2 linked regions of the Ovis aries genome follow. Each later gene encodes a partner of the first gene's protein in a complex. Links are inferred from orthologs where the notes say so. Each region holds a gene or a part of one and is shown in the gene's direction. Other genes may lie near its edges.

What was found.
Region 2: the proteins of CAPN2 (region 1) and CAPNS1 are in contact, whole or in part, in a crystal structure (PDB 1KFU), measured with the Homo sapiens proteins. The link is inferred for Ovis aries from reciprocal best matches to the Homo sapiens genes CAPN2 and CAPNS1. Residues at the interface, in NP_001739.3 of Homo sapiens: Ala2, Gly3, Ile4, Ala5, Lys7, Leu8, Ala9, Arg12, Glu13, Glu16, Phe60, Arg366, Arg416, Arg417, Arg418, Arg420, Asp494, Ile516, Phe551, Glu575, Lys578, Val581, Asp582, Asp585, Gly588, Ser589, Gly590, Gln641, Leu642, Gln644; in NP_001003962.1 of Homo sapiens: Thr85, His86, Ser88, Asp111, Asp112, Met113, Glu114, Ser116, Thr118, Asp142, Arg145, Ser146, Ala149, Val150, Met151, Asp152, Ser153, Asp154, Thr155, Thr156, Gly157, Gly160, Phe161, Glu163, Asn206, His208, Leu209, Met212, Ile213, Arg215.

Annotation. Positions count from the first base shown.
Region 1 is NC_056065.1:26,355,702-26,359,516, forward strand, and holds part of CAPN2 (calpain-2 catalytic subunit), read left to right. Parts: intron 1-1,199; coding exon 1,200-1,369; intron 1,370-3,088; coding exon 3,089-3,100; intron 3,101-3,815. UniProt on the Homo sapiens protein: Calcium-regulated non-lysosomal thiol-protease which catalyzes limited proteolysis of substrates involved in cytoskeletal remodeling and signal transduction. Proteolytically cleaves MYOC at 'Arg-226'.
Region 2 is NC_056067.1:46,107,623-46,111,437, forward strand, and holds part of CAPNS1 (calpain small subunit 1), read left to right. Parts: coding exon 1-19; intron 20-116; coding exon 117-181; intron 182-1,564; coding exon 1,565-1,633; intron 1,634-1,738; coding exon 1,739-1,817; intron 1,818-1,957; coding exon 1,958-2,074; intron 2,075-3,532; coding exon 3,533-3,591; intron 3,592-3,782; coding exon 3,783-3,809; 3' UTR 3,810-3,815. UniProt on the Homo sapiens protein: Regulatory subunit of the calcium-regulated non-lysosomal thiol-protease which catalyzes limited proteolysis of substrates involved in cytoskeletal remodeling and signal transduction. Essential for embryonic development.

The DNA of each region.
Region 1 (3,815 bases):
AGATTCCCTGATGCCGTGACCTCACGCTGAGGTAGCACTAACCCCACTTCATGCCCGTGGGCTACTTTATCCACCCAAAACCCAAGCAGCTTAGCCCAGCAGAGGTTCTCACCCACTGGGTCTCTGCACATCCAGGCCCTGGTTGTTGCCTGGCAAAACTTTAGTGCCCAGTTCACTCAGCCAATGCTGATGGGGCCCTACTCAGAAGAGGGGGCAGTGAGGATTCCTCTCCTGGTTCATCCTTTGTTGATTCCCTTGACTCTTCTGCCTCGATGACCCAGTCCTCCCCTGCCCTCTCTACCTCAGAAACTGTCTCATCACGATGACATCTGCCGATTGCGGAATACACATTGGGTGCTAGTCTTCACAGCAGACTTCTGGGGCGGGCACTTTATCATCTCCATCTTTAAGATGAGGGGACTTGGTGAAGTTAAATGACTTGCCCACAGGCCCCACAGCCTTGACTGTGCCTGGGGTTAAGAACCCAAGCAGTCAGCCTTTAAGCACTAGCAGCTCATAGAGCCATAGTTTGCCAAGCCCAATACTAGATGTTGGAGAGGGCAATGACAAGCCATTCCAGTACTCTTGCCTAGAGAATCCCATGGACAGAGGATTCTGGCAACCTATAGTCCATGGGGTCGCAAAGAGTCAGACACGACTGAGTGACTAACACATAATAGATGATGCCTTTATTTCCAGAATCCAAGTATTATCCCATCAAGGAAGAGGAGGCAATCATATTAATTATCCTTAAATGAATGAATCTCAGCTCCTTCCAGCACCATGGGAGTGGGCAAGGGCACAGGCCCAGGAGGACAGGGACACAGAACAAGAGGCTGAGATTGTGCACTGGATGTTCGTGGCCTTTAGTTCATTGAGGGGGCTTCAGAGCTAGTCCCCAAGTCTCCCTAGCCATGCCGTCCAAGCCATCTCTGACCCCCGAGTGAGAGCCTAGTGAGGGGAGGATAAAGCAGGGGATGTCACAGCTGAGCCAAAGGAGATCTGGGCCTCAGCTCTGACCACCCTGTTCCGGGGTGAGAAATGCACCCCCTCCTCCAGCCCTGGTCTCTGGTTCCTCTGCCATCTCCCCCCGACCCTCACCCCACTCGCAGCAGCCTCCTCCCCCCATGCACACCTGCCGGGCTGGGATCCCGTGTGTTGTGTGTTGGGTGACTGACCCCGGCCCTCTCTGTCTGCAGACACGTTCTGGATGAACCCTCAGTACCTGATCAAGCTGGAGGAAGAGGACGAGGATCAGGAGGACGGGGAGAGCGGCTGCACCTTCCTGGTGGGCCTCATCCAGAAGCACCGCCGGCGGCAGAGAAAGATGGGCGAGGACATGCACACCATTGGCTTCGGCATCTATGAGGTATGGGGGCGGGGCATCCATGGGAGGGGCGGGGCGGGGCTCCGCTTTCCCTTGGGTCTCAGCTCTTAGCCTCTGCCAACCCCAGAGGCAGACCTGGGGAGGAGGCCCTAAACCAGAAGCTTGGCCAAAGGAAACCAAAGCCAGGGTCCAGGCCAGTCTTAGGAGAAGTCATGCAGGGAGGTCCCTGCAGTTGGTCTGTGTCACTGGAGGCCCCCCTTTCCCTGCAGCCAGCTTCCGGAGGTCCCACGGTATCAAATGGCCTCTGTAGCCCTTCTCACATCCCCAGGCCTGGCACTCTGGTTGGTCATCAACCTCCAGTAAATTGAATAGATGTGAACTGAGGACAGAGCATATGGAACCACACCGGGCACCAGCGTGAGGACGAGAAATGAGCCAGCAGGTGCCTCTCTGGTCCGAGTCCACAGTGTCCGCTCTGATGGCAGAGCGCTGGGGAGGGGAGTAGTTAGCTGGTCATAGGTTCCAACCAGGGCTCCGCAGGTGGAGCCCGGCCCCCACACAGGCACGGTGACGGCCCCATGTCCTTTCTTCTGGAGCTTTACAAAATAAACCAAAGCCCAGCTCAGCCACAGTCAGAGCAGCCACGTCATTGCCACTACTGGGTCCCCTCCCCACTCCTTTCTACAGCACAGAGAAGAGCTTCTCCCAGCCTGGGGTGAGCAGTGGGAGAAGAGGGGTGAAAGGAGGACTTCAGAGCCACTGAAGTCGGGTGCAGATCGGTGTGATGGGGGGCCCTGGTGATGTGCTGGAGCTGGCCCACTCTCTCTGGCCCCACCTTTCAGTGAAGTCTCGTTGGCAGCCCAAAAATGACCTTGGCAAGGAGTGGGCAGTATTTACACTTAGGAATTAGCAAATATTGCAAATTAGGGTTCCCACCATACCCTGAGAGCTGGGCTCCCAGCACAGCACATGGGAGTCAGGCACAGTGTCAGAGAGAAGGCTCTCCACTCACTTCGCTTATCAGGGCCGTGATCTACCTTCTCACCCACAAACAAGTGGAGTTGGGCAAACACCATCTTTGCTAAAAATGCACACAATTCCAAGCTCCTCAGTCTCTGAAGTAGGAGCTGAGGACTTCAGAGCTGGGACAGAATAACCGCCAGAAAAATGCAGACTGAATTGTGACACCCATCCCACCCTACCCCCACCACTCACAGGCTAGGAAATCTAGCCATAGGCTGCAATCTGAGAAGGACCTGGGGGATCATTTGATCCCATTTTAGAGATAAGGAAACTGAGGCCAGAGAAGGGAAGTGAGTTACTTGAGGAAATACAGATGGAGGTGGCCAACAGGAACCTAGAACTGACACCTGCTGGCTCTAGGCCAGAGCACACCCTGCTGCTTCTTCAAGCAGCTCAGCTCTGTTTTTCCTGGGGGGAGGCCGGGTGTAGGCTTTGCTGCAGGCAGCTGGGTAACCATAGACAGCCACTTCACAGCTCCAAGCCTTGGTTTCATGCTCTGTAAGTTAGGAATGGTGATAAGGGCTCATCCTCATTCTTGCCAAGTCCTAAGAATTTTTTAAAAATTTTTTAAAATGTGAGAATGCTTTGAGTTCCTTGGAAAATAATTATTTTGATGACTTGTTATTATTGCTAAGGCTACAGAAGGAGTAGGGTAACAAAGGAAACAATCTCAGTGGTGACATTTCTTCACGGAGCTCTTCCAGAGTCTGAATTACACATGCTTTCCTTTATTTGCAGGTTCCAGAGGAGGTACGTCTGGCACACGACAGCCCACATCCTTGGGGCTCAGGTTCACCAACAAGGAAGAGGCTTAGACTACTGGCTCTGGGGTCTCGTGAAGCCTGGGCAGGGGCTCGTGTCTATGAAGAGTGAATACCCACCCCCGCCCCCTGAGCCCTGGTGAGGTTGCTCAGGTCCTAGGTCTCAGGGTCTAAGCACATGGGGTGGGGTCCAGGGCAGTCCCCATGGAACGTACTTTCTCCCTGAGGCCGGCAGAGTCAGGCACATTTAGTCCTGGGTGGAGGTTCGTTGGTCCTGGGACTGTGGGAGACTCTTCTCAGAGTCCTGTAATGCTCCTGAAATAGGCTAGAGCGATATCCCTCGCTTTCCAGTGGTTAGAACTCTGCACTGCCAGTGCAGGGGCGCAAGTTCAATCCCTGGTCAAGGAACTAAGGCCCCACCTGCCTCATGGCATGACCAAAACAAACAAAAAAAAAAACTGGCCTAAAGAGAAATGATGAGCCCTACAAGTGGTGTTACAAGGAGATGGGGAGACATAGCAAGAGACCTGGAGCCCGTTCCCAGCTCTGCCACTTGCAGGCTGTGTGACCTTGGACAATTTACCTGTCCTCTCTGAACTTCCGTTTCTTCGTCAGTAAAACTGATTAGCCATCCACCTTACCAGGTTGTTGGGATGCACTGAGATACGTGAAGCACTTAACAGGCCCACAGTTAGGCCTCACTG
Region 2 (3,815 bases), on another chromosome or scaffold:
AACAAAGTGGTGACCCGACGTGAGTGACCGGGGTTAGCAGACAGGGCAGGTTTGGAGGCATGGTGGCTGGGGTAGTTGTGATCTCTGGCCTCTGACCTTCAACCTGTATCCCACAGATCCTGATCTGAAGACTGATGGCTTTGGTGTTGACACATGTCGAAGCATGGTGGCTGTAATGGATGTATCCTTGAGAGTAGTCTGGTGGAGAACTTGAGGATGAGGGAATTTTCTTTGGCCATGCTGCGTGGTTTGTGGGATCTTCATTCCCCAACCAGGGATTAAACTGGGGCCCTGACAGAGTAGGGAGTCCTAACCACTGGACTTCCAGGGAATTCCCAAGAAGGGATTTTCTGCGAGAGTGGCTGGGGCAGTCAGGGTGTAGCTTTCATACCCACAGATGTGGACACGTATACATTAGAACACACACCCACCTATGGACATGTGGCAACACATAATAACATCAGCTGTCATGACTGGCACTTTACTTACATTTACTTGACAGCCACCTTGTGGGACAGGTATGATTATTATATTCCATTTTACAGATGAAGAAACCAGGCAGGACCTAGAGAGGCAATCATTCAACGGACCTTATAACCTTATAACCCCACCTTGTAACTGCCATAGGTTTGCCCACATGCACACACACATATATAAGGGCACACCCACATACATGAAGATATGTAGAGGCGTGTGCATGGGAACACACATCATTCACTGATTTTGGACACAGACACATACTGCATGCACAAAGCATTATAGACACACACATATATGCATGTCATGTGATGACATATATGTGTTGTCTAGGGTGAAACAAATGCAGCTCAGCCTCCTAGCAAGGTTACTGAACCTCTCTGTGCCTCAGTTTACCTCTTGATAAAATTGGGTGAATGATAATGGTGATACCAAATTGGCGTTTCATGCAAAAGGCTTAGCACAGTGGGTAGCACAGAGTAAGTGGTCTCCACACACTAACTGTTACTATGATCTCACCTGGGTAGATTTTTCAGCTCTGAAGCTGTTTCTCTGTCACCCAGATACAATACTGATGGGGCTGGGATCTTGAGGATTTAGTGAGACAAGTGATGTTCCTGAGAAGTTTAGCACTATCTGAAGTCATGTGGTAAGTCTTGGCCATTGTTGCTGTTTACTGAGAATTTATCAAGTGCCAGCCCTGAGCTGAGTGAGGGCTTTATACCAATATCTCCTTCACTTTTTATCACAAGTACGTCAGGTATTTACTCTTATCACCTCATTTCCCTAGAGTTCTAAGATACCCTGGTGTTTTACATGTCCTAACATTTGTAAGTTTGAATTACTATCAAAGAATGTTATAAATGAGGATTTCATGTGATTATGTGTAAAGAGAGTCTTTATCATTTAGAAATACAAACTAAAGTGCCTATGGGCAAAAAGAACAATGAAGCCACACACAAGGTGACAGGACGAGGGTGGGATGGGAGCTGGGGTTTTAGCCCAGGCTCCCCTGCTTGGCCCTTACCATCATCATGTACACTGTCCACACTTCTGGGTATGGCTATTCTTAACACCCTCCCACCAGAGTGATACGACTGGTAAACTGGGCTTTGAAGAATTCAAGTACTTGTGGAACAACATCAAAAAGTGGCAGGTGTGTTCGGCCTCTGAAACGACTGACACAAAGACAGTGCCCCAAGCCTTGGAAATGCCACGCCCCATGAGGCCCAGCTGAATCCTGACCTCCTTGTCCCCACAGGCCATATACAAACAGTTTGATGTTGACCGTTCAGGGACCATTGGCAGCAGTGAACTCCCAGGGGCCTTTGAGGCAGCAGGTGTGGCTGGCAGGAACATGGTGGGACTGGGGGTGGGAATGGTGAGGCAGCCTCCACTGATCTGGTCTGAGCCTGAATCCTGGGGCTGGGAGAGGGTTCGGCTATGTGGCCCCCACACCTGTTAACTAAATCGTTCTCAGGATTCCACCTGAATGAACATCTCTACAACATGATCATCCGACGCTACTCAGATGAGGGAGGGAACATGGATTTTGACAATTTCATCAGTTGCCTGGTCAGACTGGATGCCATGTTCCGTAAGTGACACCCCAGCTCTCTTCCCAGGTGGGGATTTGTCAAGCCTCCTTGGGCCAAGCCTCCTTTGAGCCTGACACTGAGGTAGGCAGTGTTAGGGGCACAGCAGTGACTGAAACAGCCCATGTTCTTGCCTTTATGTTGCTCACAGTCCACAGGAGAGGCAAATTACCAGACAGTGGCAGCTCGGGATGGTTAAGTCTGGGATCGGGGAAGCCTTTGCAGAGTGATGGGGGCTGTGAGGGGAAGGTCAGGGTAGATCAGGTTTAGACTTGTAACTGGGAGCTCTTCAAACTTAACTAGGCAGCTGATGTAGCTTAAGTGATCAAGGAGGCCTTCCTGGAGGAGGGAGGGCATGTGTGAATTGAGACCTGGTGGGTAAGAAGTGACCCCAGCAAGCGAGTGGGGAGCAGTGTTGCATTGGGAACAGCCTGTGTGAAGGCCTAGAAAGGAAAGAGGAGATGGTGATCTCGGTGATGGTTAGAGTATTTATTTCATGGAGGAGGAACCTAGGGTTTGAGGAGGCGAATTTCTTGCTCACAGCCACTTAGCTAGAAGTTGCAAAGCTAGAATTTGAATGCAGATTTGTCTGAGAGGGGGCAGGAGCAGTGGGATGGTCAGGCCATGCAGGGCTGTGAATGCCAAGTTTGAAGGTGCTCAGACACTAATGCGGACAGTGAACAGGGTCTAGGCAGGGGAAGAACAGGGTCTCAGGTTTCCTTTAGGAAGATCTCCTGGCATGCCAAGAGCCCAGGGCGGACAGTATATTAAGAGCATGCAGGGAAGAAAAGGGGCATGTATGTTGGGGACATGAAGGGAAGGTGGGAGAGGACAACAGGGCAGATGATGCCAAAAGCCATGTATGAGAGGGTCAAGAAATGGCCTGGGGTTTACCAGCAAGAGGGCTAGCTGCACATGGAGTGTCCAGGGTACCACACGCGTGGACCCCCAAGGGTGGTAATTGAGCCGTGAGTGAGAGAGAGCCACACAGACTGTGGGCACCTGTTTACATACAGGTTTGGCTGTGAGTGGGGAACATGGAGATGAGTTTCAGGGCAGGAGTGGGGACCACAACAGACTGTAGGAGCAGGAAATGCAGAGCCTCCTTCCAGTAGATTGTTTTAGCTGGAACTGGAGGTTGGTAGGGGGCTGGGGCTTGGGCAGAGGGTGATGAGGGGCGTGAAGGTCAAGATATGGAGGCCATTATTGAGATGAGTAGCAGTCTGGGTTCCAATCCCAGTTTCCTTTTTCTCTATGTAACACAGGGACATCACTTCACCTTTCTGTGCCTTATTTTAAAATGACACTTACCTCCCAAAATTGGGTTAAATGAATTCATACACGGAAAGCACTTTATACAGGTGCTTGCCAGAGTAGACAGACTACTAGCTGTTAGTATTATCATATATTAGTATATTTTAATCCTAAAAGCCAGTCCCACCAACCCTTCCTTTCCCCAGGTGCCTTCAAATCTCTTGACAAAGATGGCACTGGACAAATCCAGGTGAACATCCAGGAGGTAAGAACCCCCATCTCCACCCTGGGATTGGGGATACTAGCAGAGGGCCCCTCCCCTCAGCCCCATGTACCAGCTTGGAGCTAGGGCTCCCTCCCTCCCAATTTCCCAAAGACCCCTGGGTGAGAGCAGAGAAGGGCTGCTGGTATTCCTGGGTTCCCGGCTCCTCACTGTCTGTCCCTTCCTTTCCCCAGTGGCTGCAGCTGACCATGTACTCCTGAATGGGA